Linked DNA regions of Astyanax mexicanus. Each later gene encodes a partner of the first gene's protein in a complex. Links are inferred from orthologs where the notes say so. Each region holds a gene or a part of one and is shown in the gene's direction. Other genes may lie near its edges. The genes, in order: cyclin-dependent kinase 2-interacting protein and spata5l1.

Region 1 (16,129 bases):
GCGAGGAGCTGCGTCATGGCATTGTTCTGATTAAACAGGAAAAAAGAAAAAAAAGATATTTATACAAACAAACACAAAAGAAAAGAAAGAAAAGTAAATCCAAAACCAGTTCTAGAATACAGAAAAAATAGCAATGAAAAATAAGTCTTTCCATGACTCCCCCTGTCAGATAAGAGCAGTACTTACCAGATTAATCAGAGATTCCTCAGTGGCTGGAATTGAGCGGACTATCTTTATTTTCATTTCCAGGTTTTCAATGAACTCCACAATCATCCCCATGAGCTCGACCACATACCTGCAGTTAAATCAATCATGTTAATGAAAGCATACATTATATTTCTTCTCGGACATTGAAATTTTTAAAAAGTTTTTTCAGGCAAGAAGAAAATCACTGCCTCTTAAGACTTGGCTTTGTAAAATATTTTTATTCAAACTTGTTTAAAAGTGGATGGATCTGGTGCAACTTCACTGCACAACAAGGTGCCCCGCAAAAATATCAGTGATCAAAAAATAGTTAAAAACAAGAAGCACTTTTATTTCCTTACTGTATGAATAAGAATTTTACTCTAAAAAAGTTTCTTTAGGTAATTTGTGGAAATGGAGGATCTGGATTGTCAGTTTGGCTGTGTTTTTTTCTCTCTCTTAAAGTCTTTTCTTAATAAAATTGACGACTAATTTTAAGAAGTTATTTTAGGTGGAAGTGGTTCCCCTGTGCAATTGAGCCATCAGCCTCTCATTGGCTGATTATGTGTGTAATTAGAGCATTCTCATTGGTTGTTTTGTGATCATATGAGTATTTTATTTACTGTGATGTACCTTTGATTAACTTTTGTCTTTTACCCTGATGAAGGGCTGAGTGCCAAAATGCATTGGTTATTTTTGTATCTCTAATAAATCAGAAATTCTCAGGACAACAACTCTTGCTGGTTTTACTATTTTTGATCACTGAAGCTTGTTATAAAGAAAGCAAAGAATAAAATATAATCTCATATCTTTGCGTTACACACAACATACAAAGGAAAAACTCTGACCTGTGAAGATTGGCCTGAACAGGCAGGTTCTGCTGACAAATAGGTTTCATGAGCCTTTGCTGCAAACTAGTTTGTTGTTTCAAGACGTCCTGAAGGTGTGAAGTGAACTCCTGCAATGACGCAAACCACTGGCCTGTTCATAAGAAAAGATGATTTTAAACATTTCTTTCTTTCATCGAAATTATTAAAACAAAGCTACATTTACATTGTGCAAGTTTAAGTAATCTGTTGAACTGTAATCTGTAATAGTGTAGTATTTGGACATTTGAACCTTCTTTTATATATTTTCTTACAAAATCATGCTTCAAAATGACTTTACATTTCACACAGACTTTCATTTAAAGTTCTTCAAAGCTTCCTTTTAGCAAACAGAGTGTTTTAACAAGGCATACACTATCAAGAACAATAAATATTGAGCAGATAAATCCAGCAGATGGGAAAACAGTATTTGTGTAGTAGCACTTACTAAGATAATGATTATGGGTCACGTCTGCAGTGCTTTTCTCCAGTCTCAGCAGCTCCAAATCCAAACTCACCTAAAATTACAAACATACAATTATTATTTACCCGCACACTCCATAGAACATTTAGTGTTAGATGTTATTTCATGAGTAAATACCCCTTATGTTTCAAACCTGGTCAATTTCTTGCTTCATTCTGTTGAGCTGCTCCGCTTCCAGCAGGTGAGAGGAGAACACCTCAGATTTTCGTGGTACAGCATCCAGTTCTTTCTGTAAATGCAACAGGAGTACGTTAGACCCGTCAATCTGAACATAAAGTCCTATCTTACTGAGCCCCTAAAGTGGCTTAGCCTAATTATCTCATTCCCAATGCACACACACACACATATGTATCAATATGCCTTTAGTAATCATTTATCCCCCATGGGCAATGCTACAATCACTTTAACCAGACCAGGATATACTTAAGAGTAGTCAGATTATTATTTTTTTTTACCTCAATAACACAACAGTAAAACTAATTCAACCGTTTTTAGAAATTGCACTGGGATTGGGATTAATTGTAAAATGCTAATTCAAAAGGCAGAAGGTTGAGGACATAATGTTTAATCAATGTTAAAATGTCAACGTTAGCACAACCATTTAACATTAAATGTTGTTTTAACATTGTTTCAGAATTAAAATAACAAGACATTACTTCAACCATATTTAAACCATTTGTCAACGCTGAAGGTCGGTTGTGTACCAGCTATGAAGTCGTGGCCACGTATTATTTTTTTATTTAACATGATGTCACCTTAGAGGCTGAGTATTATGTTGCTTTATCTTACCTGAGACATTGTGCCGGAGTGAACACACCTGGATAAGACTCTTGCTGCTGGAGTCACAGAGTACGGAGTGGGGTCCCACATATTTAAAAGCTAACTTTACCTGTTTTTAAATGTAGAACTAAAACAGGAGAGATATATATTTAAATTAAGTTAATATAAGTTATTTTAGGCAGTGTTGCCTGTTAAAAAAATACAGCTAACCCAGTAGTTAACCTATTTATAACTTGCAAAGCTAAGCTAAGCTAACTAGTTAGCTAACCTAGCTAACGCTAAATAACTGATTAACCGACAGAAAAACAAAAGTTTACCTAGATGTTTGACTTTAACCCCAATTTTTCATCCAAATACCAACTTAAAACATTTCCAGTGCCAATAAAAACACCATTAAACTCTTTCAGCGGTGAGGTTTTAGCAGTGTAGCTTTAGCATTTCGCTAATTTTCTACTAGCCACTGTTTGAACAGCCCGCCTCGCTGAACTGCTCACAGTACCGACGGGAAGCTTGAATCAGTGAACCGATTCGACTTGTTTGAATCAAATGTATGATTCAACGATTTATTTTGTGCAACTCAGTTTAACTTAGTCGTAATTATACCAATGTAGAGCTTCACTGTACAACGAGATGACTATTTATCTGCAGTACAATTAAATAAATAGACAAAATGCCATGAACACGTAGGTGTTTTGAATCGATTCCATTAATTCCTTCATGAGTCGGTTCCGAGTGCGAGTCCGAGTCTTCAGTTTTCCAAACAATCTACCGTAACTAGCTGTGTATGCATGCAAATTTGTCAGGTAATATTAAACTGTGTTAAAGATTATGCAGTTGTAGTTGTTGCCCTAATAAATGTTTTTTTTTTTTTTTTTTTTAATGAAGTCAAAGTAGAATTATGGAGCTGAATTAAGAGAGAACTGTTTTTTTTGCCATTAATAAAAAAAATATAGCCAAACTAAAACTTATTTTCTTCAATACTGTTATTTTTCACTGGTACTGGCTTTTCCACAAATGCAAATAATTTATAAAGAACTGTATGTACATTCACTTAATCAGCCTTTTCAATTAAATTCAAGCTTTCTATTTTATATTTCACTATTGTTTACATTGGCTTATTTCTTTCCTATTTTTTTTCAGTGTCTCATTGTCTTGTATGTCTATACATGTCTCTTACATAAATATACGGCTCTTGCTTATGAATATTCATACATGCAAACATATCGCCGCTCATTGGCTAACAGCACTGCGAGCCAGCGAGATGGACAACAGTTTTAAAAACATTTTAAAATAAAACAATTTAACACTAATAACAGTCTTTGCCTTTTCATATGTTACTTTACAACATGTGTAATAATGCTAATCCTGCTAAGTGCAGTTCAGCCTATACTGACCTAGTCTTAGAGTCTCTGTAAAACACCAAATCCTCCGGAGATCCTATTTAAACCTATAGTTAGGTTTACAAGGTGGGCGGGGACATGAATACTAATTCACAGATTGATGTAGACACGGTGCTTTTCCTGATTTACTCGTTTTGTTTTTCTGAATATTTTCTTTTACTAGCTGCTGCAGAACAATGAGGAAGAGTTTGAGGAAGAGTTTCATCATGTGCAGCATCATATACTTACTGTATTTCACAAAGAACCAGAAAAAGAGGATTTTAGCAGATGGACACTTTTTTATTGTGTCGCCCAGCCGAACCCTGTTGTAGTAAATTGGACTCTTTTGAATTGAAGTGCATTTGTTGTAACACTGTTTTTTGATCACTTGATGTTGTAGTGAAAATACTGTATTTTTTGGTGCTTATATTAGGTGTTTTACGGTAAATAAGCAGGTCAGACAATGACAGCCCAGTCCCGGTAGGAAGAGAATCACAGATGTCACGGCGGACCCGCGGTTCTGCTGTGTGAGTCAGGGCTGGAAGAGACCCAGACTCGCGGTGTTTATTACAGCGGGCAGCCCGAGTATGTCGGCCGCGGCTCGGTTAGCTGCAGTCGGCGGGCCGGTGTCGACCCTGTCGCGGTTCCGCGGCGCGCTGGTGGCGGCTGTACTGGGGGATTGTATCGGGGGAGAGTTTGAAGGAGCGGAGGATGTTCCTCTGGACCGGGTCCTGCAGCACCTCAGCGGGGTGGAGGACGAGTCCCGGGGGGACGGTGAGGCTTTATTACACTTTATTTCATTTTATTTCACTATTAGTGACAGATCTGATCACACAATCACTACTGCTGCGTGTCTCTATATACCCTGTAGCATACCTGTAGTATGTAGCTAAAGCAGCTAAGCTATGTTATGTTATATATTATTGTGCTGGAGGGATTGTTGTCAGTGTTTATGTGTTAGGGATTTCTGAACCTTTAATTATGCTTTTAAAAATATGCACTAAGAGTAAAACTGAAAGTAAACCAATCCCACACCCACCCCCACCCACATACTCCACATAATACACATCAACACTGGAGAAACAGGCCTGTACTTTTTTAAGTGTATGTTTATTCTCATACACTGAATTAAAGATTTTGCTATTTATAGGTTTATGTTCGAGTAAAATGATTTAAAATCATTGGTGTTTTATTCGATAAACTACAGACAACATTTCTCCCAAATTCCAAATAAAAATATTCTCATTTAGAGCATTTATTTACAGAAAATGAGAAATGACTGAAATAACAAAAAAGACGCAGAGCTTTCAGACCTCAAATAATGCAAAGAAAACAAGTTCATATTCATAAAGTTTTAAGAGTTCAGAAATAATCAATATTTGGTGGAATAACTCCAAAAGTTTTTAATCACAGTTTAATTTTATGCATCTTGGCATCATGTTCTCCTCCACCAGTCTTACACACTGCTTTTGGATAACTTTATGCTGCTTTACTCCTGGTGCAACAATTCAAGCAGTTCAGTTTGGTGGTTTGATGGTTTGTGATCATCCATCTTCCTCTTGATTATATTCCAGAGGTTTTCAATTAGGTAAAATCAAAGAAAATCATTATTTTTAGGTGCCCTCTTTTGTTTCCCAGAGGTTGAACTGCTTGAATTTTTACACCAGGAGTAAAGCAGCATAAAGTTATCCAAAAGCAGTGTGTAAGACTGGTGGAGGAGAACATGATGCCAAGATGCATGAAAACTCTTTTTTTAATTATTTAAGAAGGCATGAAGTCAACTCATTATTAAATTTTCTCTTTTTTCAGGTATACTACAGTACAGTGATGATACGGCTATGATGCGCTGTGTGGCTGATTCACTGCTGACCCGGGTGGGGTTTGATGAGCAGGACATGGCTCGCAGGTATGTTCAGATATGGCGTCAGTTTCAGGACTGTGCTTATGTTTAGTTGTGTTTTTATTTTCATTCTGTTACTCTTAATTCTGTATTTCCAGTTTTGCGAAGGAGTACAGTCTCGCCCCGGGCCGGGGCTATGGGTCAGGGGTCATTCAGGTGTTGCGGAAGCTCGCGTCTCCTCAGCTCAGCGACGTGTTTCAGCCGGCTCGGGCTCAGTTCGGAGGACGTGGATCATTTGGGAATGGTGGAGCAATGAGAGTGGCACCTTTCGCCCTCGCCTTCAGAAGCGCAGCTGAAGTGCGGAAAGTGAGGCCTAATATTATTTAATTATATTGTACACATATTATACACAATGGCTAATATTAGAGCAGCTGAGTGATAAATATATGACTTAAGGCCTATTACAAAGCACTAGGGGTGGGCGATATGGTCCTAAAATAATATCACAATATTTTATGGTATTTTCGCTATACGATTTCGATACTCTTGGCGAAATGAATGAAACACTGAATTAAAAGAATAATTTTAAGAACAGGTTTGAAAGCTATCCGCTCCTGTTGCTATGTGTGGGGTTGTGTGATTGGTTCCTTTGTTTAACTTTATTTATGAATGCTTCGACTTATCATATTATCTCCTTTTCAGTATATTTCCAGGCCTGAATAAGTTTTGGAAAAATAAAAATACCCAGTTTTTTAACTACAAATCTTTGTGTTGCTGTTTTTTTTTATCTATCAACGGAGAGAAGCTATTTTGAGCTAACAAATACATCAGCTCAGAATTAGTTAAGTAATTAAGCCCTGCATGATGGAGCTCTCAGGATTCGACACACATTTTATTATTGAAAATTGTGTATTAACATTGCTTTTAAATTAAATTAACTTTAGGCCTACTGTAATCTATTTTAATTATAGTTTTAGTTAATTTCTGGTTTATTGTCCATGTCTGCACGGATGTTTTAGAAATTGTATGGTCATGAAAATTTGCCTGAAAGGCATGGAAAAGACATGTAAAATCATAGATATTTTTCAGTTAAAAACTGTATGAACCCTGACTGTAGTAAAGCGCAGCTTTGTGGAGTGAGTGTTTGTACTGACAGCATATTAACGGAGCCCGAATTCGGTCCTGGATGCGGAATTGAGCAGAATTGAAAAATATATAAAACGTCATAATGATAGTTATTTAATTGTAGCTGAATTATAATTGTGAAGCTAATGTTTTGTGTGTATGGCAGTACTCCAGGCTCGGTGCGATGCTCACACACTCCTGCTCTTTGGGCTACAACGGCGCCGTGCTGCAGGGTCTCGCTGTCCACCTGTCTCTGCAGGGCGTCCTGTCCCTGCCACAGGAATTCATCAACAGACTCATCTCTGAGATGGAGGTCGTGGAAAAAGAGGATTCGGCCCAGCGTGACGCTAAAGCGTGAGTTATTAACTCTTCATAGAACTGTTTTATTTGTGTTGTGTGGAGAAGGTGATTACAGCAGTAAATAGAAAACATTTATAATACTGAGAAGTATATAGAAATAGTTAATTACATAAGATTTCTGATAAGACTAATAACCAGGGTTTGTACGGGTGTTTGAAATCCTAAAAAATGCTTGAATTTTAACGTTCTGTTTTTCGAGCCTTGAAAGTTCTGCAATATTTATATATATATATTATTTTACAGGCTGAATTTAGCAGAGTTTCCGTACTGCGCACGATTACACCGAGTGAAGGAGCTGATAGAGAGGAGCAGCGTGAGCGTTGAAGAGGTCATATCCGAACTTGGTTAGTATCTTGTTTGCTCACGATGTTATTTCTTTGTTCTTATTTCGTTGTTTGTGTGCTGACTGAGGCCACCATGATATCCTGTTCAAATGTATAGTAATAAAATAAAATAAACAAAAATAAAAAAATAGTTATATTACACTTCTAAACACTTCTATACTCATATACACAAGGTTCTATAGTACAGACAGTTGGAGAGATGTTATTTTCATGAAATTCTGTGTTCTTATTGATACCATTATTTAAAATTAAATCAGATAAATTCACTGAGCATGGCTTTAAATATTTAAGATTAAAATCATGACGCAACATAAATGACAGAACAGCAGTTTTACTGCTTGGATTTTACATTGCATTCTTAAAATCAGGTCTGAAGTAGTTAGGTATAGAATGTACAACTTTTAATTAAACCATTTAAAAGGTAAAATGTTAGAACAGAGCTGTAGAAAAAATAAGAAGCTAAAATACACTTTCTTTTATTTGTACAAGTAGATAGTTTTATCACCAGCACTAACCCACCCAGCACACCTACATTCAGCGTAATATGTCCCCAATGGTTTTATAGGCAACTGTGGTCCCAGCTACCTTGAGATCATTAACAAGTTCCCTCCTTTGCAGTTTTAGGCTGATCTGTTACCTTCCTCATGATGAAGGATGCCCTGTAGGTAGTATTCAGGTACAGTAGGTCACTCAGCCTGTAATTTTCTCAAAGGACGTCTGTGAAGCACATACATGGTCGTTCTGGACGGGAATAAAATCACAGAGGATAAAAAACCCCCAAAAAGAGAAAATCATCCCAGAACCCCCTGAGAAATGCTGTCTTTAATGCATGTAGTGAGTTAATTTGGAGCGTCTAACTGGTCTGTAGGAGCCTGAACTCTTAATGGTTGGTAGGGGATCAAATACAAATACAAATACAAATTGTGTAATAAGTGCAAATAAGTGCATATGATTTATACTGTGTGACTTTTTTTTATTTTTATCTCTTTTCAGTCTTTGTCTTGTGCTAATAAGCTCTCTGTGTGCAGGAAATGGCATTGCAGCACTGCAGTCAGTCCCCACAGCTATCTTCTGCGTTCTGCACTGTCTGGAGCCTCGGGAGGGCCTGCCCGAGCGCTACGGTGGCCTGGAGAGGACAATAGCCTACAGCTTGGCCCTGGGAGGAGACACCGACACCATCGCCTGCATGGCGGGCGCCATTGCCGGGGCACACTACGGCATCGAGGCGGTTCCCCGGAGCTGGCAGATGAGCTGCGAGGGGGTGGAGGAGGCCGATCACCTGGCGAAGCGTTTTTATAAACTGTACCAGTCCCAGTCCTCAGGAGACGCAGTTACCATGAGCGACAGCAACCAGCCCCAATCACACGCCAGCAACCAGCACCCCACACACACCAACTGACCCCCCGTCAGAGATCCGGCACAGAGGGTCTCCCTCTCTCATAAAGCTCAATCATCGTGGATTATGATTATGTCTCTGTTGTTTAAAAAGGTTTACAATAAAAGAATAAAAGCACTTCCAGTGGTAAACTGGCAAACTGCTCAGTAATACTGTCCTTCTTTCAATAATGTAGAAACTACTGCAAATGAACATCATGGCTACGTTCACATTACAATCTGATTTAACACGTTCACACAGCCATGAAAAAATCTGATCGGAGCAGAAAATCTGAGTCACTTCAGCTTCACTTCTAATGTGAACATCGGCCATGTGTATTTTTCTATTAGTAATCTCCATGACTTCCTTTGCAATAGACATGGTTTGTTTTTTTCTTTTTTTGTGTATTCTTTCACTTCACACAGATTAAGACTGTTGAACTGTTCAATATATATTGAACTAAAAAAACACAAATCACTGCACTGCAAATAAACAAATAAATATATTCTATTCTATTCTTCAAGATTTCCAAAAGCCTGAGAGCAGACCTTTTTTGAAGTAGTGAAAATCATACACAAAATATTGTCTTTAGCATTTAACTATTAAGTCTGGTAATAACAGTATCACCAGAATTTCAACCAAAAATCATGATTCTTTGGAAAAAAGTGGTCAAATTTAGTGTTACGGATTTTTTTTACCTCCACATTTGTAGATAGTTGAAATTAATATTAATATTAATATATATATATATAATAAAATAAAAAAAAGGACGAGAGAAATTAAATAAAAATGTAAAAGGGCAAAAGTAAAACCAGTAATAAAACAAAATAAAGGGATGATATGAATAAAAAGGCTAAAAGGTAAAATATAAAATTTGATAAATAAAAAAACAAAAGAAATGAAAAGGGTAAAAGAAAAAACTCAACTAAAACAGTTACAGGCTGTCTGGAGGTGGCTTGAGAGAGAAATTTTAGGGACTAATACAGATATACAGTATATTTTATATTATAATAGTACATTAATATGGGTGTTTTTTATATTATTTATATTAACTGGTAATAATAACACGGTGTAAAGCGGGTCTGTGCTGTAGGGGGCAGTAATGAGTTTAGTGTGTAATGAGGAGGATAGAGAGGAAGAAACAGGTCCGGCATGCAGTGAAAACAGTTTAAACAGGATTAAAAATATAATTTTCTCTTTATTAATGAAACAACCGAGCAAAAATGAACGGTAAGAAAACCTTTAACTACCTTTAACACTGAAATGTGGTTAGTGTAATGTCTGTTGTTGTTTCAGTGTTGAATAATAGCAGGAGTTGTAATAAACTCCTGCTATATAAACACTGTTTTTACTCACTGAAATGTAGAGGTGAGTAACCCAGGTCGAGAAAGTAAAAATCCACCCCGGGGTTTAGTACTCACTGCCTGGGCGGCTCTGCTGCAGCTCAGCTACAAAACCCTGGGGTGGATTTTTACTTTCTGGACCTGGGTAACCCACCTCTACTGAAATGTTATTTTTAAGATGCTGTTTTTTTATTTTTTTTTTTTCAGATGTAATTATTCAGTATTTCAGCAAATTTTGGGAAAGTATATCTAGATATGTTAATTCAATGTTCTAGATTTTCCACAAAGGCTGAATTACTGTTATTATACATAAGTGTGAACACAAGCTTAAAAAACAGATTAAGGTGTGGAAATTAGACCCTAATGCGTGGCCACAACTTATTAAGGCATGAGAATGAGATTCTTATGCGTGGCCATGACTTAATAAGGCATGGGAACGAGATTATAATGTTTTTTTGCGTATGAATGAGATAATTAAGAGATAATTAATTACTAAGGCATGGGAATGTGATCCTAATGTGTGGCCATAACGTATTAACTCTCGGGAATGAGAAACTAATGTGTAGCCACAGCTTATAAAGGCATGTGATTCAAATAATTAAGTTGTGGCCACAACTTATTAAGGCATGAGAACAAGATAATAGAGATAATTAATTACTAAGGCATGGGAATAAAAACATAATGCGTGGGAACAAGATGTGTGGCCACAACTTAATAATTCGTGGGAATTAGATAAATAAGTCATGGCCAGAGAGTAATAAAGCATGCTTATCTGTACATTAATGCCTGTAAAGAAACTGAATATTACATCAAAGTTCCTTTAATCCAATAATAATCTTTAGTAAGAAAATAAAGAAAAAATGTATTATTTTTTCATAAATAAAACATAGTATTCCTGTGGGTTTTAAAGCCTTTTTTTTCATATGACCTGATAGTTAACATATTTTGCCTTATACTGTGTTTTGTAAGCTTGTTTGCAGCATCATCCCTAAATACAGCTGTTTTTTCTTCTATGTAAAAAAACGTGTTTAATCAGAAAAACACTCTGAGGCCACGCCCCCTGGAAGAAAAGGCAATTTAACTGGAAGCGCAAGAAAACTGAAGGACAACGCTGCAGACTGGCACAACCTGATCCTGAAGTGGGAGCGCCTGACTGATGAGGGATCGGCCATCGCAAACAAAATTGTCAACTACAGAATAAGTGAAACGTTGGGTTCTGTTTTTGAACATAAATGTATATAATATTTACAGCAAGAGCACTTCAGTTTCTGAATCAGTTTCTGATTTTGCTATTTATAGGTTTATGTTTGAGTAAAATGAACATTGTTGTTTTATTCTATAAACTACAGACAACATTTCTCCCAAATTACAAATAAAAATATTCTCATTTAGAGTTTTTAATCACAGTTTTTTGTCATGCATCTCTGCATCATGTTCTCCTCCACCAGTCTTACACACTGCTTTTGGATAACTTTATGCTGCTTTACTCCTGGTGCAAAAATTCAAGCAGTTCAGTTTGGTGGTTTGATGGTTTGTGATCATCCATCTTCCTCTTGATTATATTCCAGAGGTTTTTAATTTGGTAAAATCAAAGAAACTCATCATTTTTAGGTGCTCTCTTATTCTTCTACAGAGCTGTATATATAAAGTATGTATTTTTCTGATGTGTCTCTGTTCAGATTTTCTGCTCTTCATGTTATCTGTTGTTTTGGGTACAGGTCTGTGAAGGAACCAGATATAGTGTTGGTAGATGAAGGTTCATCAGAAGCTCCTTCAGAGAGGAGAGCGCACCAGAGCAACCCGGAGCTGGAGGAGGAATGCGTCAATCTACAGAACATTGTAGATAAAATGGTAAGATTCTGTAAATCCTATTAACTTTATTTAACTTTTCAAATATCACTGTGTTCGTCTGCTATATGATATATTTAACTGAAATTACTGATCCCAACAACCAATGATGTATAAAGGAAAATCATTAAAGAAAATTATCAGGGGATTCCCAAACGTTTTCATACCACTGTTTGTGCAATGCAGAAGTAATTATGATGTTTTATGAATGCTCTGTAACATATAGTTGTGTATTCCTATCTCCAAAGGCCCACATTCTGCTGAAGATGGAGAAGATTGTCTCTAATGAGAGAGGAGTGTATAATTTGGAGATGTTTCAGTTTGGAGTGCAAGGAAGACCAGCGCCACTGTTCCAAACCTGGTCTACCCAACAGTTTGGTAAGAATAATACCAACACTGAAATAGGGTTAATCTGGACTCAATAGGCCATCACTTGACCTTCTTTAATTGCTCCAGAGTCCAATCTTTAGGATCTCTAGCAAATTAAAGCCTTTTTACTGGTTATCCTCACTGATTAGTGGTTTTCTTAAAGCTACACAGCTTTTATCCCTTCAGTTCCCTTCACTGCATTGTGTGCATGGAAAAGCTCTTACCTTCACTATTACACAACATAGCCCTGAGTTCTACTGTTGGTGATTGCTGATCACTATCATTCAGGACTTTTTTTTCCGGGCCACATTTCTTCCTCGTAGATGATGGGTCTTTTTTAAGCATCCAGTTTTTAACAATAAAGCATTGGACAGTTATTACCCCAATTTTACTAGTTTCTGCTAAAATCTCTTTAGATGTTTTCTCTGCATTATTGATGCATGATGCCAATAATATTTGACCCTTCTCAAACAGTTTGACATCTTTTCCACGAACACAGGATCGCAGTATATTTCCATATGGTTGTTTAAGAAAAGAGAAGCAGCTCATTGCACCAGTTGGGAGTTATAAGACTTTAAGATAAATCGGCCATGCAGTAATTATTATCCAATAGGAGGCAGGGTTATTAAAATATATCATCACTTAAATATGATGTTTCCTTGATTTTACCAAATTGAATTTTTGCACCAGGAGTAAAGCAGCATAAAGTTATCCAAAAGCAGTGTGTAAGACTGGTGGAGGAGAACATGATGCCAAGATGCATAAAAACATTAAAACTGATTAAAAACCAGGATTATTCCACCAAATATTGATTATTTCTGAACTCTTCAAACTTTATGAATATGAACTTGTTTTCTTTGCATTATTTGAGGTCTGAAAGCTCTGCATCTTTTTTGTTATTTCAGTCATTTCTCATTTTCTGTAAATAAATGCTCTAAATGAGAATATTTTTATTTGGAATTTGGGAGAAATGTTGTCTGTAGTTTATAGAATAAAACAACAATGTTCATTTTACTCAAACATAAACCTATAAATAGCAAAATCAGAGAAACTGATTCAGAAACTGAACTTTCATTTTTTTTCTGTTCACTGCAGCTGAAGTGTCTTCTAAGCTTTATGAGGCTTACAAACAGGAGCTGGCCCTGAAGAGAACCATCCTGCAGGAACTGGCCCACACCACCAACACTCACCTGTCTATGGTCTACCTGTCCTGTTGGCTGTATCAGCCCTACGTTGAGGACAACACAAAACTGACGTTAGAGAGTTTACTAATGGAAACAGGCCACAGAGCTCTGTGATTTCTATCTGTGGCAGTTTTTCCACACTGCCTGAGGACTTTTATTAAACAGGAATGGATGAATAATAAAGGGGGGAGAAGATGAATGTCTCACTGATGCATGTTTAGAAACCCAATATAACATATTGAAATGAATCTATGACCATGCTAGGATATTTACTATACCCTGAAATATGGTGCTATAATCATCCACCCCTAATTATCACATCAGGGTACTACTTTTATTATTTTACTGTTTTTATCAAAAGAAAAATTCACACTGTTCTCATTTCCCATTATATATCTACTAGATACAGATTATATCTGTCCAGTATCATTTATTTTACTTTAATCCTGGATATATGAAGATATCTGGAGTGCATTATTATTATTATTATTAGTAGTATCATTACTGATCATTCTGGATCACTGACTTCTGTTACTGTAAATCTGATTAAATTCTCAAATATCCTTCAGCAGCAGGAAGTGAATTGTGAATCTAACCTTTAGACACACTGACAGGAGTCTCTACTTACCACAGATGTATAGAATGAACTGCAGCCATTAGACAATGTGTGGAGAATTTTAAAACAATAAAATTTAACAAACACATCCACCTTATTTCTGGAAAAAATGTTTGAACCCTGAACCACAGGAATAGATGTACTAATATATCAATATATCAAAATATTAGGATATCATTTAAAAGAAAATGTTACTTTATTTCAGTAATTCAGTTCAAAATGTAAAACGTAATATATATCAAAATGTAATGTATATATTATATAGATATATTAAACACAGAATGATGTATTTTAAGTGTTTATTTATTTAATTAATGATTATGAAGCTTACAGCCAATGAAAACCCAAAAATAAGTGCATCAGAAAATTAGAATATTATATAAGATCAATTGGTACATTTGGCAGTGTGGGCAGTGTGCCAAATCCTGCTGGAAAATGAAATCTGCATCTCTATAAAAGTTGTCAGCAGAGGGAACATGGCATCTGCTGGTGTTGGTCCACTGTGTTATATCAAGTCCAAAACAATCTTACAGCACTCTATGCTTCCCTCTACTGACAGATTTCATTTTCCAGCAGGACTTGGCACACTGGCAATTGGTCTTGTATAATATTTACATTTTCCAAGACACTGATTTTTGGATTTTCATTGGCTGTAAACCATTAACAATCATCAACAATAAAAGAAATAAAAACTTAAAATGCTTCACATTTTTAACTGAATTACTGAAATAAAGTAATAAATAAACTTTTCAATGATACTCTTCATTTTTGAGATGCACTAGTATATTATTAACCAATGAAATAAACACGTAAACACATTTTAGTAGTTTTTTAGTGTGGATATCAGGCACTTCTGTATAGAGTAAAGCCTCAATTCCAAAAGCTCACTCGCAAAGATTTAATTGTTTTAATGTCATCTGCTCAACTTTTTTTCCCCCTTGGTATTACAAATGTCGAGATGTTTTGAAAAAACACAGTATGCCCAAAGATTATATAAAAAGTAATAAAATATTTCTTCTTCTTTTTCTTTTTTAAACAACCATTGAACTGGACAAACTACTATTTAACATGTAACAATGAAACACTTATCAAAAGAGGTCAACCGGGACTTCAGACACTTAAGACATGTTCGTCCCCTTTCTTCTTCCTGTGTGTGTTTCTCAGATCTAAAGTTTGTTTTTAACACTTTTTCCCACGAAGCACATCTGAATCAAACTCCATTAAACCTCAATCCTCAAACGAGGTTTAATACAAACGAGTCGTGAACCGGTACTACTCAAACTCAGCTCAGCATTCAACCAACCTTCTTCTCTTCCATGCTGTAGTAGAACTTAAACTTCCAGTCTGAATTATATATATATATATAATTATATAATACACACAAACCCAAATTCATGGAACGGAGGTGTGTACGCCTGCATCCCAGCGCTGCTGCTCGAGGGGGAGGTGGGGGGAGAAGTAAAACGTTTGGCAGCTAGAATAAAGAAATAAAGAAATGTGAAGGTAACAAGTCCGTGTCAAACTCCTAAATCTCAGGATCTCACATTTAACAAAAAGACTAAACTGAAACAATGGGCTAATCTACAATAATGATAATACTTTTGTTTTGTTTTTTTACAAATTTACAAAGAATCGCAATAAAAAGTTCCTTGAAAAAAACACTGGAAAAGACCACAATGCAGACAGACAGTGTGCTCGGAGTGGATGACCAATTACAGATGAGTTTGGGAAGCTGGAACTCCCTCCTCAAGTCGTTCTCTCAGTTTCAATACCGAGCAGAGCGTGGACAGTTTCTAAAGGAACCCCTTCCGGTGCCTCTATATGCATGGTGGTGCCATCAGGCCCGTTCACAATCACGATACCTTTAGAGGCGAGTTCTTCAGCGCTCTGCCTCACCAGGCCCTCTGCTGTCTGAATGAAAACCTCCTCAGCATGGCCAGGCTGTATCTCCTGACTCTCAACAGCTTCTCCCACAGTTTCTACCTCACTCAAGCTGCCCACGTCTGGAGGATCACAGTTTCCGTCCTGTAGAT
Region 2 (15,001 bases), on another chromosome or scaffold:
CATCTCAACCGTGAGGTTGTTTGAACTATTATGAAAAAAAAGTATATTAATAAAAAATGCCTCTCTGTCCAGATATTGTGTACATTACCGTACACAGGGCAGCGGTCTGCACAGATCTGATTGGCAGAGGAGAGCGTTTGGTGATTTTACACCACACATGACTGATCTGTGAGTTTACTGCACCGAAAAGCACTGAAAACAGAAGCCACTGTCAGAATGAAATCCTTCTCTGTAGTTTACAGGTTTGGGACGGCATTTGTGACAACGTCTGGGTCCGGATCCGGATCGCGGTCCGCCTATTAGTGACCTCTGTTTTAAAGCTATCAAGATGAGTAAGTTAAGTACTAAGTTAACGCTCTGTTTACGCAAATTTTAGCAGCTAAATAGCAATTTAGCTTCTTCGTCATTTAATCAGCCACAACATGCCTCCTTTTCAGGTGCTTGTGCATCGCGGTTGTGCTGCCGAGGAAGGCAAGTTCTTCATTGCAGATATTGCATTGCACGAGTTTCACTTTTATTTTCTTGGTGATCCCACACTTTTGAGTTCTGTAGCGGGGTAGCCATGAAACCAGAGCCTGTCTGTATAATGTCCTGAGATGTCGTCCACTACCTACCCCGGTTTCCACTACTGCGCATGTGCGTCCAGGACAGAAAGGCAGTCGCAGCAGTTTGGAGAGAAAAACAAAGAAAAAAAAAAAAAACGACTAATCGACTATTAAATTAGTCGTCGACTATTTTAATAGTCGACATAATAGTGACTAGTCGACTAATCGTGGCAGCCCTAACTGCTAATAAATTCTCTAAATGACAATATTTTTATTTGGAATTTTGTCCGTAGTAAAATGTTCATTTTTCTCAAACAAATCTATAAATTGCAAAATTCTGAAAAACTGATTCAGAAACTAAAGTGCTCTAATTTTTTTCCAGAGCTGTATGTAAATAGTGATTTGTAAGTATAGTGAAACATAGTCAGCTGAAGCAGTATTGAAAAAGTGAGTGAGGCGGCCTGTGCCCTGCCTGGCACCGGTCCGCTACCCGGCTCAGCTTTCACATTTCTCCCCATAACCGGCATGGCGGCCTCCACTGACTGCGGGACATTATTAGCAGCTGGCTGGCAAAAACCCAGCAAAGCCCGGCCTGCACCGAGACACAGCCGGAATAATGCAAAATAATCATTCCTCCAAAAACAAAGGGGTTATAGTAGATACACTACACACTTCACACACACTCAATCTCAGCAGATAACCCCCAGCATGAAGGTCTGAAGGGGGAAATCGCGGCTATAGCAGTCAGGTTGGATTTCACCTTTATCTGACCTCTCTTTTATAACTGCTGTTACGTTTACAGAGCACAAGAACTAAACGTGCAGCAGCCATCAGTGTTCATCTACAGGATATTTACTTATAAAGTGGGGTCAGTGTGTATTAGTGGTTTAGCAGAATCAAAAATACAAAACCTTCTTTAAAACTGCTTCAGACTGACCTTACCTGAACCAGATATGAGAGCATGAATGTAGAGAGTATATGAATACAGTGTAAATAAGTGTGTATGTTATGTGTAGCTGTAAGTGGTAGCTGTATAAATGCAGTGTAAATGAATGGCCAAAATAGTGTAAAGGTAGTTTAAAGTATTGTTAATATGTTAAAGTGTAAAATATGTGTAAACAATGTGTATATATAGTATTTAAGCAAGTTCCGTAAAAGTTGTACGAGTATAAAAATTAGTTTTTCATACAAGTGTCAAAGCAGTATAAAGGTATTGGGTGATATTGAGATATTTAGAAGTGTATAAGTGTGTAAAACTTAAATGTAAAGTATTATTAAGTATTATTGTGGTGTAAAATCTCTCCTACCTTTAGCAGCCTGTTGGTTCCACAGTGCAGGAGCGTTATGGAAATGTTTGATTTTCCACAGGGCCTCCTGTGGGAGCAAGGGCACTCGGCGGAGCAGCACGGACATGCCTCACACACTCCACACACACACTCTACACACTCTTCTGACCGTGCCGGCCTGCGTCCTGTAGGCAGAAGATCTAAGGCAGCTCTTTTTAGCTCTTTTTAGACACCTGTGCTCATCTTCTTCTTTCTCTACCTCTTTATTCCTCTCTATCTGCCTTTTTTTCTTTTTATCTATATGCTGTCCTTCTTCTCAGAGCCCTTCTCCGCCTGCAGGCCTGCCCACGGCCCCTGTGACATTAGAGGGAGAGCAGGACACAGCCGGCTCACACACACACTCTCTCACACACACACACTTACACACAGAGAGACGACAACGCGAGAACTCACAGCATGACGAAGAACTGGAGCGCAGTGCCAAGAAACTCTAACATGCGCACATACAAACACACACACATACACACACACACACACAGGCGTAGGGCCTCCAGTCATACTCACAGTCACACAGTGAAAAATGATCCCTGAGCAAGTGAATCCATCTTAAATCTAATCTAAACTTTTAGTACTCCTCATTTTGAGTCTCTTAACTTAGTTTTACCCACCTTCAAGCAAAATCTGGAAATTTGACCTTACAATAACAAACTCAGATCACTGTGTCTATACTCCCCAGCGAACAGAGAACGTTATAAAAACGTTTATTATTTTTTTTGCACGTAATGTTATATTATACAGTATATTATACCACAGTTAGTTCCGAACCTGCAATGTGATTGGCCGAGGGGCTTTCTGTGAATGCCATTATCAGCCAGTAATGCACTGTAATTGAAGCTCTTCATGTATTACTGCACCACAAACAGGTAACCTAGCAACGATGCAGTGTTTTCAAGCCAGCCTGACTGTTTTATAACCAAACAGATCATATTTTCTTGTTCTTTTTAACTCAAAATCCTACATTAAACAGCGATACTGGAACTGTGGTATAATCGCAATAATATACTTGTTTAATACAGGCGCGACTGCAGCACAGCAGGGCCAATTTTACACATTATAGCACGAACCTCTAGCGTATGATTGCTTTAATATGTTCCAGGAATGTTCTGAGAACATTCCATGGGGGGGTGTTGGGGGCATAATTTTTTTTATGAATTAGATGCAATTTACACCATTCTGGTGTTAAAAATACACATAATTTTACTTATAAAAGAGACTTAAATGAATGACTATTTTACAGACAGATTCAACAATTCAACAAGTCCTCATTTCTCTAGTCCATATATTTACCAGCCTGTTGCTAATACACGATTACTGGGAATAACTAGGAATAACATTGTTCCGTAAATAAGTCAAAGTTTACTCCTAATATTCAATTGTTTTATTGAACGTTCATTTAACAGGCTCCGAGTGGTGCTTCGAAATCCCGATCATGTAGCTTGCCATCAGCTGCCAGAGTCCAAGATAGCTCAATTGGCCTTGCTCTCTCTGGGTGCGTAGATGGCACTCTTAGGGTGATGTTGATCAGCACAAGGCGCTTTTCTCGGAGTGTTAGCGCTGTGATGCTACTAGACAATGCTACATCAGCAGCAGTTCAGTTCAGTTCACCCTTCTGGTGTTGGGGCATTACTAGTGATAGAGGGAATATAGCTAAAAAGTTGAAAAAATAAAACAGCTAAACATGGAAAAAAAAAGAAAAAAGAACATGGGCATATAACCCAAAAAAAATAGGTTTTAGTAAAAATTGGACATTGTGAGATGGTAATGGGGCTGATTTCACCTCCTCCTGCTTTCAGTGGTATGTGTATTCTCCTATCGATCGTGTGGAATGGATTCTTTCCAATAATTTTACTTAAATTTTCTCCTGTTTTTCTCCCAATTTAGCTAGGCCAATTTTCCCACACATTCAGCTGTATATCCCCCCCATCACTGATGATGCCACAACACAAGGAGGGTAAAAAACCAGCACACGCCTCTTTCGACACATGCAAAATCAGACTCCGTCTTTTTTTAACTGCTGCTGATCCAGCATTGTTGAGTAGCATCATAGCACACTCGGAAGAAAGCGCAGCGACTCGGTTCTGATACATCAGCTCACAGAGGCCTTGTGCTGATCAACATCACCCTTTAAAGTGATGTGGGGAGAGAATGCTATCTACTTACCCAGAGCAAGCAAGGTCAACTGTGCTCTCAGAGCTCCGGCAGCTGATGGCAAGCTGGATTTGAACCAGCAATCTTCCAATCATATTGGCAGCACTTTAGAGTGCTGGAACACTCTGTGCCCATTTGGTTACATTTTTAATTACTTTTTTTATGTAGAGAGTTTTTATTCTTGTTCTTCCTTTAAGTCCTGTGTGTGTGTGTGATTTTATATTTATATGTTACCTGGCGATTAGAATAGATAGCATTATGCAGTGCAGATATGTCATTTGTATTACAACTTAAATATTCACATCAAGTTTAAAAATATACATTTAACATTTAAAGAATTTTAACATTACATATTTTAACTGGATGGTGGATGAAAAAAGAAATAACTATTATTTTTTTTTTACTGTACAACAGTACATATGATAAACATAAATCTTTGATTTCTATACATAAAAAGTAATTTATTAAAATTAGTTAAGTTCTTTACTTAATTCATGTTTGTAAAGAAAAAAAATATTAAATTACACATTTAACTAATGCTAGTATAGAAATAGTATATGTTAATACTCAAAAGGGAAAAATATGTTTTCATTGTGTTTTTAATACTATGGATTTTACTGTGTGACATCACAAACACACTCTATTCCAAAGGTGATGCTTTTGTAGATTAGTTATATATAGTTATATATCATACTCATTGTAGAATACTCTTTAATTATCTTTTTTTTCATTTATCTATGATATGAGCCCTTTAATGCTCTTTATACAACGCTCTCTCTCTCTCTCTCTCTCTCTTTCTCTCTCTCTCTCAATCACTCACACACACACACACACACGGTCTGAGAAACTGCAGGGCACGCTCCATAAAAGGATTGGTTGATTTTTCCACTCGTATTGCTCACAGGCTCCTCTGGAAGAGGGAAACACACAGAGATGGGTGGTGTATTATCAGAATACTGGTGTGTAATAGAAACACTGTCCTTGCTTTCTCCTTCTCCACAGTTTCAGCATGGCCCTCTATCTCTGCTATAAATAGCAGATCACGTGATAAAAAGCTTATGAACCTTATCTACATCCTCAACAGTGTTTATAGACTTTTACCACTGCCTGAGCGACACAACAGTTCCATTCTGTTACTGTATGCTGTGGTTACGTTCCCTTATGTTCTATAAAACTAAACTAAAAAAACACATTTTGTCAAATTGACTACAACCAACCATATATGGATGAGATTCAGACCAGAAGAAAATATAAATGACAGAGACCACGTACAAAGTAATCTGATCACACTGACCATTTCACATATCAACTTTATTTGACTTTATCTGACGTAAAAACTGCAAAGAACTTCTTGCAAAGTGTCTTATGACGGAACCAACAGCACAAAAACACCACATGATCAATCAATAATAGTATGATCAACTAGAAAAGTGGATGATTGTACAGTTAAAATGTCTCCAACTGGCCCAGGGTGTAAATGGAAACCAGTACAGCTTAGGTGCTGCTTCACTAAACTGAAGTCTTATAATCCTTACAGTGTCTCACTTCCTTACTGTAATGTCTACAACACATTAAATATAAAACCATTACTAATGTATAAACATCAGCTAATGTAGCACTTATATACCACACAATAACCTTTATACATATAAATAATATATTATCCACAGTTAATCCTGCAAAAACACACAGACACAATGCTATCAGATGCTATCTTTAATCAGCTTTCTTACCATTACATTTTAATTTATATTCTATAGGATCTCTCCCACAGGAATCATGTATTATTTCATTCTAAATAAATATAAAATAACAATGTAAAAACCCTGTAGAGAAGACTTTTGTTCCTCATCTCATCCACATATTTTGACTCTGGGACTACAATATTAAATGTTAAGGGGAGATATGTAGGAATGCATTTATATAGCTCGGCTAAAGCCATTTAAAAGGCTTGGCTACTGTTAATTTTTAAAGTAGCATAGTAAAAAGATTAGAAAATAAGTCTTACCTTTAAAAAATTGTAATAAACCAGTTTACTGTTCATCTGCTCAACTGCTCATCTGCGTAACTAATGTTAATTCTTCACTAGGTCTAACTCACTGCAGCGTATAAAGCTTTTAGTTTCTTGTTCACATTTCCATTCCACCTTAAAACACATTTCCATTCCACCTTAACAGTTTCCCTGCATTAAAACACATTTTCTCTACGTTAAAACACAGTTTCCTCTTTAGACTGTAGTAGATAATAAAGTGTTTTAAAAGTTTTACACATTTCTGCTCAGGTTGTGCAGAAATCACAGAAAAACAGTTCAAATAAAACAGAACGTGGATTCCCATTTGAATCTTCGGTTCTACCTTAAAAACGCCTGAAGCCTGAGTGCCGCTACAGCAGCATTTAAGGCGGAATGGTAAATTGGCAGCATTTAAGGTGGGATAGTAAATTCATGTGAGTTATTTCTGTAAGGAAAAGTGTGTTTAAAGTGCTTATTTATAAAAAGATAAGTAGATAGAAGCTACTTACTTGTAATGCTGTATCTCGAGCAGCTTGTGTACCTTAACCTAGACACAATTAGCCACATGACAAATAATGAGGCAGCAGCAGGTAAAGAAGAGGAATGATTATTATTAAGATGGAATGGTATGATCCACTTTAGGGGAGATTGAAATCGTATCACAATATTCTTCCAGGCACAGATACATTGTTTTTGTAGTTTTTAACTTTATATGTTTGAAGTATATTTAAATGTTTTGACCAAACTATTGTTTTATCCCTTAAGGGGGTTTGAAGTCTTAATTGGGGGATCTGGGATAATTTTGGTCTTAAAGATAAATTGGTCAGTGTAAAGTTTAGCAGTTTAATTTCTGTGACTGCATCAAGCAAAATTCGAAAATAGAAAATTGGTAATAGAACTTAATCATTATTTTTTTTATATTCAGTAGAATGAAGAAGAAATGGTTATTCATCCAATTTGTCATTTATATAAATTTTTATTTCAACCTTTGGCAAACAGAATGAAAAAGTGAATCTTCTCTCAATTTTCAGAGTTGTAAATTGTGTACCTTGCAACACAAATCTTAAGGTATAATAATAATCCTTGCAAAATGCAAAAATGGAAAAATGAGGAAAAATATATATTCTTTGTTCTTTTTTTCCCTAAAAATACATTTGTAAGGTGCAGAGATGAAAAAATAAATTGGAAAAATGGATGAAAACTTATTTCTTGTACACTGCACTACATAAAAAAAGAAATAATGATTTTTTTTTACATACAATTTTCTATTTTTGCATTTAGCCTTAAACAGTCAGAAAAGGAGTCGTTATAATGACCCTGATTGACCAGCAGATGCCACTGTAATAAAGGAGTGATTCGAACGACTCACTAGATCGAATCTTTTTCCGAACCAATTGATTCATTTGATTTGATTACCCAAAAGCCTCGCTTCTGCTCTCACTCCAGGCCGGTGGGGGCAGCAGTGAGTGTTTGCTCAGCGGTAGAGTAAGAGCGCGGGCTCCATGCTTTCCCTACAGGACAGGTAAACACAGCAGCATGTCGCGGAGTGAAGCCGCGCGGGGCGGCTGAAGGTAAGATTAATTATCATCACTGGATCAGTGGGATATAGTCAGGGTGTTTATACGGAGCGCGTGGCCGGAGCTGTGTGTGTAGTGTATTGGAGGTCGCGCTCTAATTAGAAATCAGCTGTCTAACTAGGGCCCCTCTCTAGTGCACAGTGTCACTTTCTCCACTTTATAACCCACACTGTTAGGAGTATATATATATATATATAAATATATATAATATAAAACATTAAGTCTTTAAATTAATGCTTTGATTACTGTTGCTTTTACTTTGTCCCACAAAAGTACATAATATATGACGAAATCAGACTTAATTATTAGAAAAACAGCTGAAGTATTTAAATTATAGACCTTAAAAGATATAAGATATACACCGGCGCCGAGTGGTCCAGCGGTCTAAAGCGCTGCCACTATGAGCAGGAGGTCGCCGGTTCGAACCCCAGCTCATGCAGCTTTGCCATCAAGCTGCTGGCGTTAGAGGGAGCTCCCTCCGGGTGGGTAGATGGCGCTCTTTCCCCACATCACTCCTATGGTGATGTCTGCAGCACAGGGCGTCTGTGAGCTGATGTACCAGAACCGAGCCGCTGTGCTTTCCTCCAAGCGTGCTGGCTACTCGGCAATGCTGCATCAGCAGCAGCTCGAAAAGAAGCGGTGGCTGACTTCACATGTATCTGAGGAAGCATGTGTTAGTCTTCACCCTCCTGGTGTGTTGAGGTATCGCTAGTGATAGGGGAAGTCCCTAATGAATGGGTTGGGTAATTGGCTGTGTAAATTGGGGAGCAAATGGGAAAAAATAGAAAAAAAAAAAAAAAAGGATATACACCAACAACTTTAACACGGCTTACTTAAAACTAGGTATTTTAAATAGTTCCGTAAACACTATAAATGGACCTAAAACACCTAATATTTAAGTATTTAAAAAGATTCCCAGATTTCTCATATGCTCTATTGCACAAGTTAGACACAGTAATTGGTGTTTGCTGCTTAGATGCTGTTCTCATTTTTCTCCAGGTAGGACACAGCGAGACAAGCATTTGACTCCACAGAGCTGTACACTGACTACTTTACACTGTATCAAAGTGTCATATATTTAGTGTTATAATAAAATATTTACAAATGTGTGAGGGCTGTGCTCACTTTTGTGGGATACTGTACCTGCTTCTAATGTTCACACAGACAGAACGTGCACTTCTTTATCTAACAGCTCAAAGCAATCTGATGGTTTTACATAACTCAAAGAGCCAATCAGAACGTTTGAAAATATCTTCACTCTGCTCAGCAAAGAATGGACAAAGACCAAATATCTGGGGGGGCCTTACAAAACAATTTTGTAACTATTTGAATTCTGACATGGTAAGAACATCTTAAATGCATCATGTGTTTGTGTTTTAAGTATGCTGTGTGAATTGTATCTGCTCTGAATAATATGACCCTTCTGTGACCTGTTGTGTGTTATGTTCTAGGTCTTATGGATGCTGTTGTAACCCCCCAGATCCAGAAGATGCCTCCTGTGGAAGACGGAGATCTGGTGGTGTTGCCGCCAGACTCTGTGGACGCTGGCACTCAGAGATGTCGTCTGGGTCCTGCAGTGATGGAGGAGCTGGGGCTGAAGCTGGGTTCTCCGCTTCTCATCCTGCTGCCCCGGGGGTCCTGCCTCTGCACCGCATGGCCTCGGAGTGACCTCGCTAATGGATACCTGCAGTTCCAAACCACCTGCGCTGGAGTAAACCTCATCAACTATGATGCAATGAAGCTCAGCACCCAACCAACGCCTCAGTCTGAAAACAGCTACGCTGGATTCAATATCAATTTAATGAAACTCCAGTGCCTCCAGAGGATGAAAATTAAGCCACTAACCTGCCCACGTCTTAAGCGCTTGTCTGTGAAGGTTCTGGTGCAGAGTTCTGAAACTGAGCCCATCCAGTACATTCAGGAGCTCGCAAAGGAGCTACTGATGGGTCTGTATGTGCACGAGAAGCACTTGGTGAGTGTTGCGAGAGCTGGGACTCAGATTCAGTTCATAGAGGTGGAGAAGGTGAACTCTGGCTCGCAAAAAGCTGGACTGGTCACTGCCGAGACCCGCCTGGACTTGAGCTCGGTTCAGACAGTTCAGAAGTACAGACAGGCTTTGAGAAAGACTCCTTCTGTGCCCTTGGGCGGAGTCGAGGAGGTGCTTTCTTCTCTAAAAGAGATGCTAACGGTTCCGCTGCACTATCCAGGCAGCTTAAAGCGTCTAGGCCTGCCCTGTCCACGGGGGGCGCTGTTGGTGGGGCCGCCAGGGGTGGGAAAGACCCAGCTGGTCCGAAATGTGGTGCAGAAAGTCGGAGCAGCGCTGGTGACCATAAACGGCCCTGTGGTGGTGGGGTCACGCCCTGGAGAGAGCGAAGAGAACCTGCGCAGGGCGTTCGACCGTGCTCGGGCGGCGGCGCTGGACGGTCCATGTGTTTTGTTTATTGATGAGATCGATGCTCTCTGTCCGAGGAGGAGTGAATCTGGCAGCACTCCAGAAAATCGTATCGTAGCTCAGCTGCTGACGCTCATGGATGGGATCGGCAGCGATGAAAGTTTCATCATCATCGCAGCGACCAATCAGCCTGACACACTGGACCCGGCCCTCAGGAGACCTGGCCGGTTCGACAGAGAGGTAAAGTTCATAATTTTAAAAATAAAATTTCTTTTTAACACATGGATGCATGAAGTGTTGTCTAATTAAATCCATTTAAATTGTACTTGAATGTTGTGTGGTTCGCATCAGACAACTATTTTCGCTAAATTTGCGCTGTCATCTCTACACTACTAATAGATTAAAGCTTCCCATTGCAACAATTCTCAAACTTTTTCATTCTTAAACTGTGGCCCCTAGCCACCCACTTTACCTCCAGTAAAAAACACAAGTTAGAACAGGTCTATGGCCAAAACAAAACAAGTTCATGAAGTTCTTTGCACAAATTCACTCTAGCATAAAGGCATCCCACCACCTCTGTTCTTACCAGTTTCAGTCCCTTTTAGAGTGAGCCGTTTAAGGGCTCCGTCACTTGCAATAAATCCATAAAAGCTTTTGCCTCTGATGCATAGCTGTACTTCCATCTTCCTACTGACTTGCTACGGAGAGTAGATACAGATCCCTTCTTCAGAAGAAGTCTGATCTCTAATCCTGATGTGTACGAGGATCTTAAGTAGCCCTAGACAATATTTTGATATCGGTATTCATCACGATAAGAAATGTTTTAATAACGGTGATATCATTTTTGTGGCGTATCGATATGTGTTATTTTCAGAATCTTTCACAGACAGGCGTTTTTTTTGAGGTGTCAGTTCACTGCAGAGCTGAACACAAACAGCCTACGTAGCCGGGCTACGTCAGTGCATAATGACGTAATCATACAGGCACGTGGCTAGGCTAGGCTAGGCCTGGGTCGGCTCCACTCCACTCCGCATTGCTAAATGTCCCGCGATGAAGCTCGGCTGCGCTCCCCATCTAAAACCTCCCGCGATGAAGCAAAACCGACCCTAGCTGAGCGGATCTCGGCTGTGCTCCGCTCCGCACCTAAAATCTCCCGTATTGAAGAGAAACCAACCCTAACCAAACGGATCTCGGCCGCGCTCCGCTCCGCACCGCACCTAAAACCCACCCGCGATGAAGCGAAACCGACCCTAACCGAGCGGATCTCAGCTCCGCTCCGCACCTAGAATGTCCCGCGATGAAGCTCGACTGCGCTCCGGTCCGGTCTGTTCCACCACTTCAAGCACTACACACAATATCTGAAGCACTTTTGTAGTTTATGTTGTATCTAAGTTATTTATAGTTGATATAGGTTTGTTTATTTGACAGGGATATCATGTTCTCTTTATGTATATGAAGGCTTTTTGTATTCCCTATCCTGGTTGAAGCACTTTTGTTTTGATCTGTTAAATATGTTTACAAAAAAATAAGAAGCTCTGCCTCTGTTGTAATGTAAAGTTATTTATATTGGTAATATGTGTATAGGTTATAGGTTTATGTTTGACAGAGATCTCATATTTTTATTTTGCTACATGCAAATTAAAGTGAGCATTGATTTATTCTAACCATTTTTTATTTCTAAAGTATTTCTAAAGTTCGCTTTTTTTGAGAGGATTTAAAGACTTAAATTAATTTTCAGACAGTAGTGTACAGATATCAATTGCAGGGATTCTTAGCAGTTTTTCTGAGGCCTTCAAAGTATTTATATCGATATCAAAATTATATCTTATCGACCGAAATGAAGGAATATATATTGTGATATAAATTTTGGCCATATCGTCCAGCACTAATCTTAAGCAGACCAAAGTAATGTTTCTTCAACTGATCTGGTGGGTGGGGCCCTGGTCCTATGCAGGTTTCCTTATTGTGATGTCACAATAAGGGAGCATCCAAATGGCTTATAAAAGCATATGATTTCTGTCACCAAACTCTTAGCTGATTCACAGGAAAAAAAAATCCATGCTTGGAGTGTTAAAGGGTTTATAGAGGCAGTTGAGACCCAAGTGGAAATACAAAAGAACAAAAAAGTGATTTTTGCTTAATATGTCCCCTTTAATATATATCCACATAACATAATGATAAATGATCATGCTGCATCCCCCTTTGTGCCTCATTATGGCCCCAGTTTGAGAACTGCTGCTCTATTAGATGTATTTTGAACTCTTGTACAAGTGAAGTGGGGTGTGACAATCTTACTTTCTGACCTCATGAACACTCTTTATCCAGAAGGCAATTAAATTCTGTCTTTGAAACAATTATTTACGAGAGCATTGTAACCTCTCTTGATTTAGGAGGGAACAATGAATGGAGAAATATCCCAGTATTTTGTCCATGTAAAGCAGAGTGAGCTAATATTAAATATTGTGATAAATGTGTGTGCATGTTCAGGTGGTGGTGGGTGTTCCCACGTTACAGCAGAGGTTCCGGATTCTGCAGTGTGTGAGCCGTGGTTTACCACTGTCTTCTACTGTGGACCTGCAGACCATCGCTGAGATGACCACTGGTTATGTTGGAGCTGATCTGAGCGCGCTCTGTAGGGAGGCAGCGCTGCAGGCTATACTGCACACTGCACAGGTAAAAAACACACACATAAACACACATGCTATATATATAACTGTATATTGTAAAATAATTGAGTTAACAGTAAAAAAAAGTAAACCTACTATACCCAACGTACTGAGGCCCAACATATCAATATAGTTCAGTGCTGCACTTTATGACTTTAGGACATTTAAGAAATTAAAGCTATAAATGAACACATACTGAATTATTCTGTAACTAAAAAGTATTAAACAAATCAGAATATGTTTTATACTTTAGATTCTTCTAAGTGGCACATTTATCTTTGAGGACAGATCTGAACACTCTTGGTATTTTAATCTCAGTGTCTTCACGAGGGAGAGTCACCTGGAATAGTTTTCTCAGCGTCTTGAAGGAAGGAGTTTCTGGAGGTGCTGAACAATAGTTGCTGCTTTTCCTTCATGTTGTGAAGCTCCAGCTCATCCCAAACAAATCACCTCAATTCACCATCTCAGTTCATCAGCTTTAGATCAAGGGACTTTTTGAGTGTTTACTAAGTAATTCCATATGTGTCCCTGAATTAATGTCATGGTGGAAAAGTAGTCTTGACAATAGAAAAAAAATTAAAGAACGAAAAACCTTGAATAAGAAGGTTGGTCCAAATATATAGGGTACTGTAAAATTTACTTATTTTCCACACTATTTTTTTAAAATAGTGTCAAACAATCACTGGATGTTAATTTGTACGGATTTTGCTCCTGAAATCTGTTTATTTGGGTTAGAAAAGCGCTTTCGTTTATTTACAGCAAGCTTAGTTTTGCAGATTTTCACTGAGGTTGGTTGCAGCAGCATTAGCGGCTAACCGCTAGCCACAGTTAGAGCTAGTAAATGCTGCTTAATAGTGCTACATTGCGGAACCTGGAGTGTTTCAGTTAGCCAGGGCAATATTAGCTTACGGTTCTTAAGGGTAGCTTGTTTTTACTCAGTAAACGCGCAGGCTACAGTTTGATATATTCAATCCTGAACGGTGAAAGAGCTAGTGCTTAGCGCAGTAAGCGGCTAATGCTAATACTGCTTCTGCTTAGGTACTGGAGAAACTTAACTGAAACTCCTTTATAATGCTGGACTTCAGCGTAGTGGCTTTACTGCTCCTTACAACCTGACTGATAAAATTCGTTAAAGGATTTTAAGTGCGCCTTATAGTGCGAGAAATATGGTAAATACAGTTTTTTAGTGCAATAGTGCAGTAAACACAGCATCACTTAAGCTAATAATGAATTATGTGCTGATAGTGGCAATATCATAGTTCACCTCCACCAGGGCTGCATGATCTTGTGATATGTTGTCTTTTTGCAATATATATTGCAGTATTTAAAAAATACAGAAATTTCTATCAGATATGCTCCCCAACTTATTAATAATGCCTTCTGTGCATCCAAGATTAAAGTAGAAATACTTGTAGCATGAAGTGTTTGATATAATTTGAATGGTATGTGACCTTGCGTGCCCTGAGATGTGACTATTACTGATTGTAAAACATTACTTTGTGCTGCTGTGTGTTGTTTCACAGGGTGGAGCTGAGAACACAAATGAGTCTGTGGGGCAGGAGCATTTCGACAGAGCTCTGAGGTTAGTCCCACCCTCCTGTCTGCGCAGCAGTGTGGGCGTGGCCGACTTTCAGCCTGTCAGCTGGGAGCGAATAGGGGGGCTGGAAGACGTCAAACTCAAACTAAAGCAGGTACAGAGATTTACACAGTCCTGCACACAGTCTCAGAAAGGGGATTTAACCATTTTTGAAGAATATTTAAGTAGCAGGCATATACTTATCCCAATATACTCTACTGAATAATACACTGCCTGGACAAGAAAAAGATCACACACTTTCAGATTTATCTTTGTTTATGGTACACATTCACTGTGGCATAATTTCCACAAGCATCCAGAGTTGCACTTAATTTTCCCCAAGATCTTTTTCTGATGATGGGAGATTTGGAGCACTGCACAAAGTCTTCTCCAGCACATCCCAATGATTCTTAATGAGGTTAAGGTCTGGACTCTGTGGTGAACTCTCTCTCAATCCATGTGTGAAAATGATAATGATAATAAAATGAGCTCATGCTCCCTGAATCACTCACAATTCCAGCCCCATGAATCCTGACATTAATCGTCTTGGAATATGGCCATATCATCAGGGAAGATAAAATCCATTAATGGAATAACCTGGTCTATATTCAGTATATACAGGTTAGCCTGATGCATGATGGGTGCATCACTTCAGCCTCCACTATTCTTACCCTGATGCTCCATCACTCTGGAACAGGGTCAATCTGGACTCATCAGAAGACATTATCTTTGTCTATTGC

The links.
Region 2: cyclin-dependent kinase 2-interacting protein (region 1) and spata5l1 share a complex: the UniProt entries of both Homo sapiens proteins name them as parts of the 55LCC heterohexameric ATPase complex. The link is inferred for Astyanax mexicanus from reciprocal best matches to the Homo sapiens genes CINP and AFG2B.

What each region holds. Positions count from the first base shown.
Region 1 is NC_064421.1:48,595,983-48,612,111, reverse strand, and holds cyclin-dependent kinase 2-interacting protein, read left to right. Parts: upstream 1-9,832; 5' UTR 9,833-9,959; coding exon 9,960-9,966; intron 9,967-11,115; coding exon 11,116-11,287; intron 11,288-11,797; coding exon 11,798-11,930; intron 11,931-12,175; coding exon 12,176-12,305; intron 12,306-13,391; coding exon 13,392-13,594; 3' UTR 13,595-13,675; downstream 13,676-16,129. Other genes in the region: haus2 (HAUS augmin-like complex subunit 2), read right to left, coding at 1-26, 187-295, 1,032-1,164, 1,498-1,567, 1,667-1,762, 2,323-2,403; adprs (ADP-ribosylhydrolase ARH3), read left to right, coding at 4,280-4,466, 5,502-5,598, 5,691-5,898, 6,824-7,011, 7,261-7,361, 8,390-8,760; uncharacterized protein znf839, read right to left, coding at 15,843-16,129. UniProt on the Homo sapiens protein: Component of the DNA replication complex, which interacts with two kinases, CDK2 and CDC7, thereby providing a functional and physical link between CDK2 and CDC7 during firing of the origins of replication.
Region 2 is NC_064416.1:44,361,549-44,376,549, forward strand, and holds the start of spata5l1 (spermatogenesis-associated protein 5-like protein 1), read left to right. Parts: upstream 1-7,513; 5' UTR 7,514-7,621; intron 7,622-9,078; 5' UTR 9,079-9,083; coding exon 9,084-10,259; intron 10,260-12,506; coding exon 12,507-12,692; intron 12,693-14,208; coding exon 14,209-14,376; intron 14,377-15,001. UniProt on the Homo sapiens protein: ATP-dependent chaperone part of the 55LCC heterohexameric ATPase complex which is chromatin-associated and promotes replisome proteostasis to maintain replication fork progression and genome stability.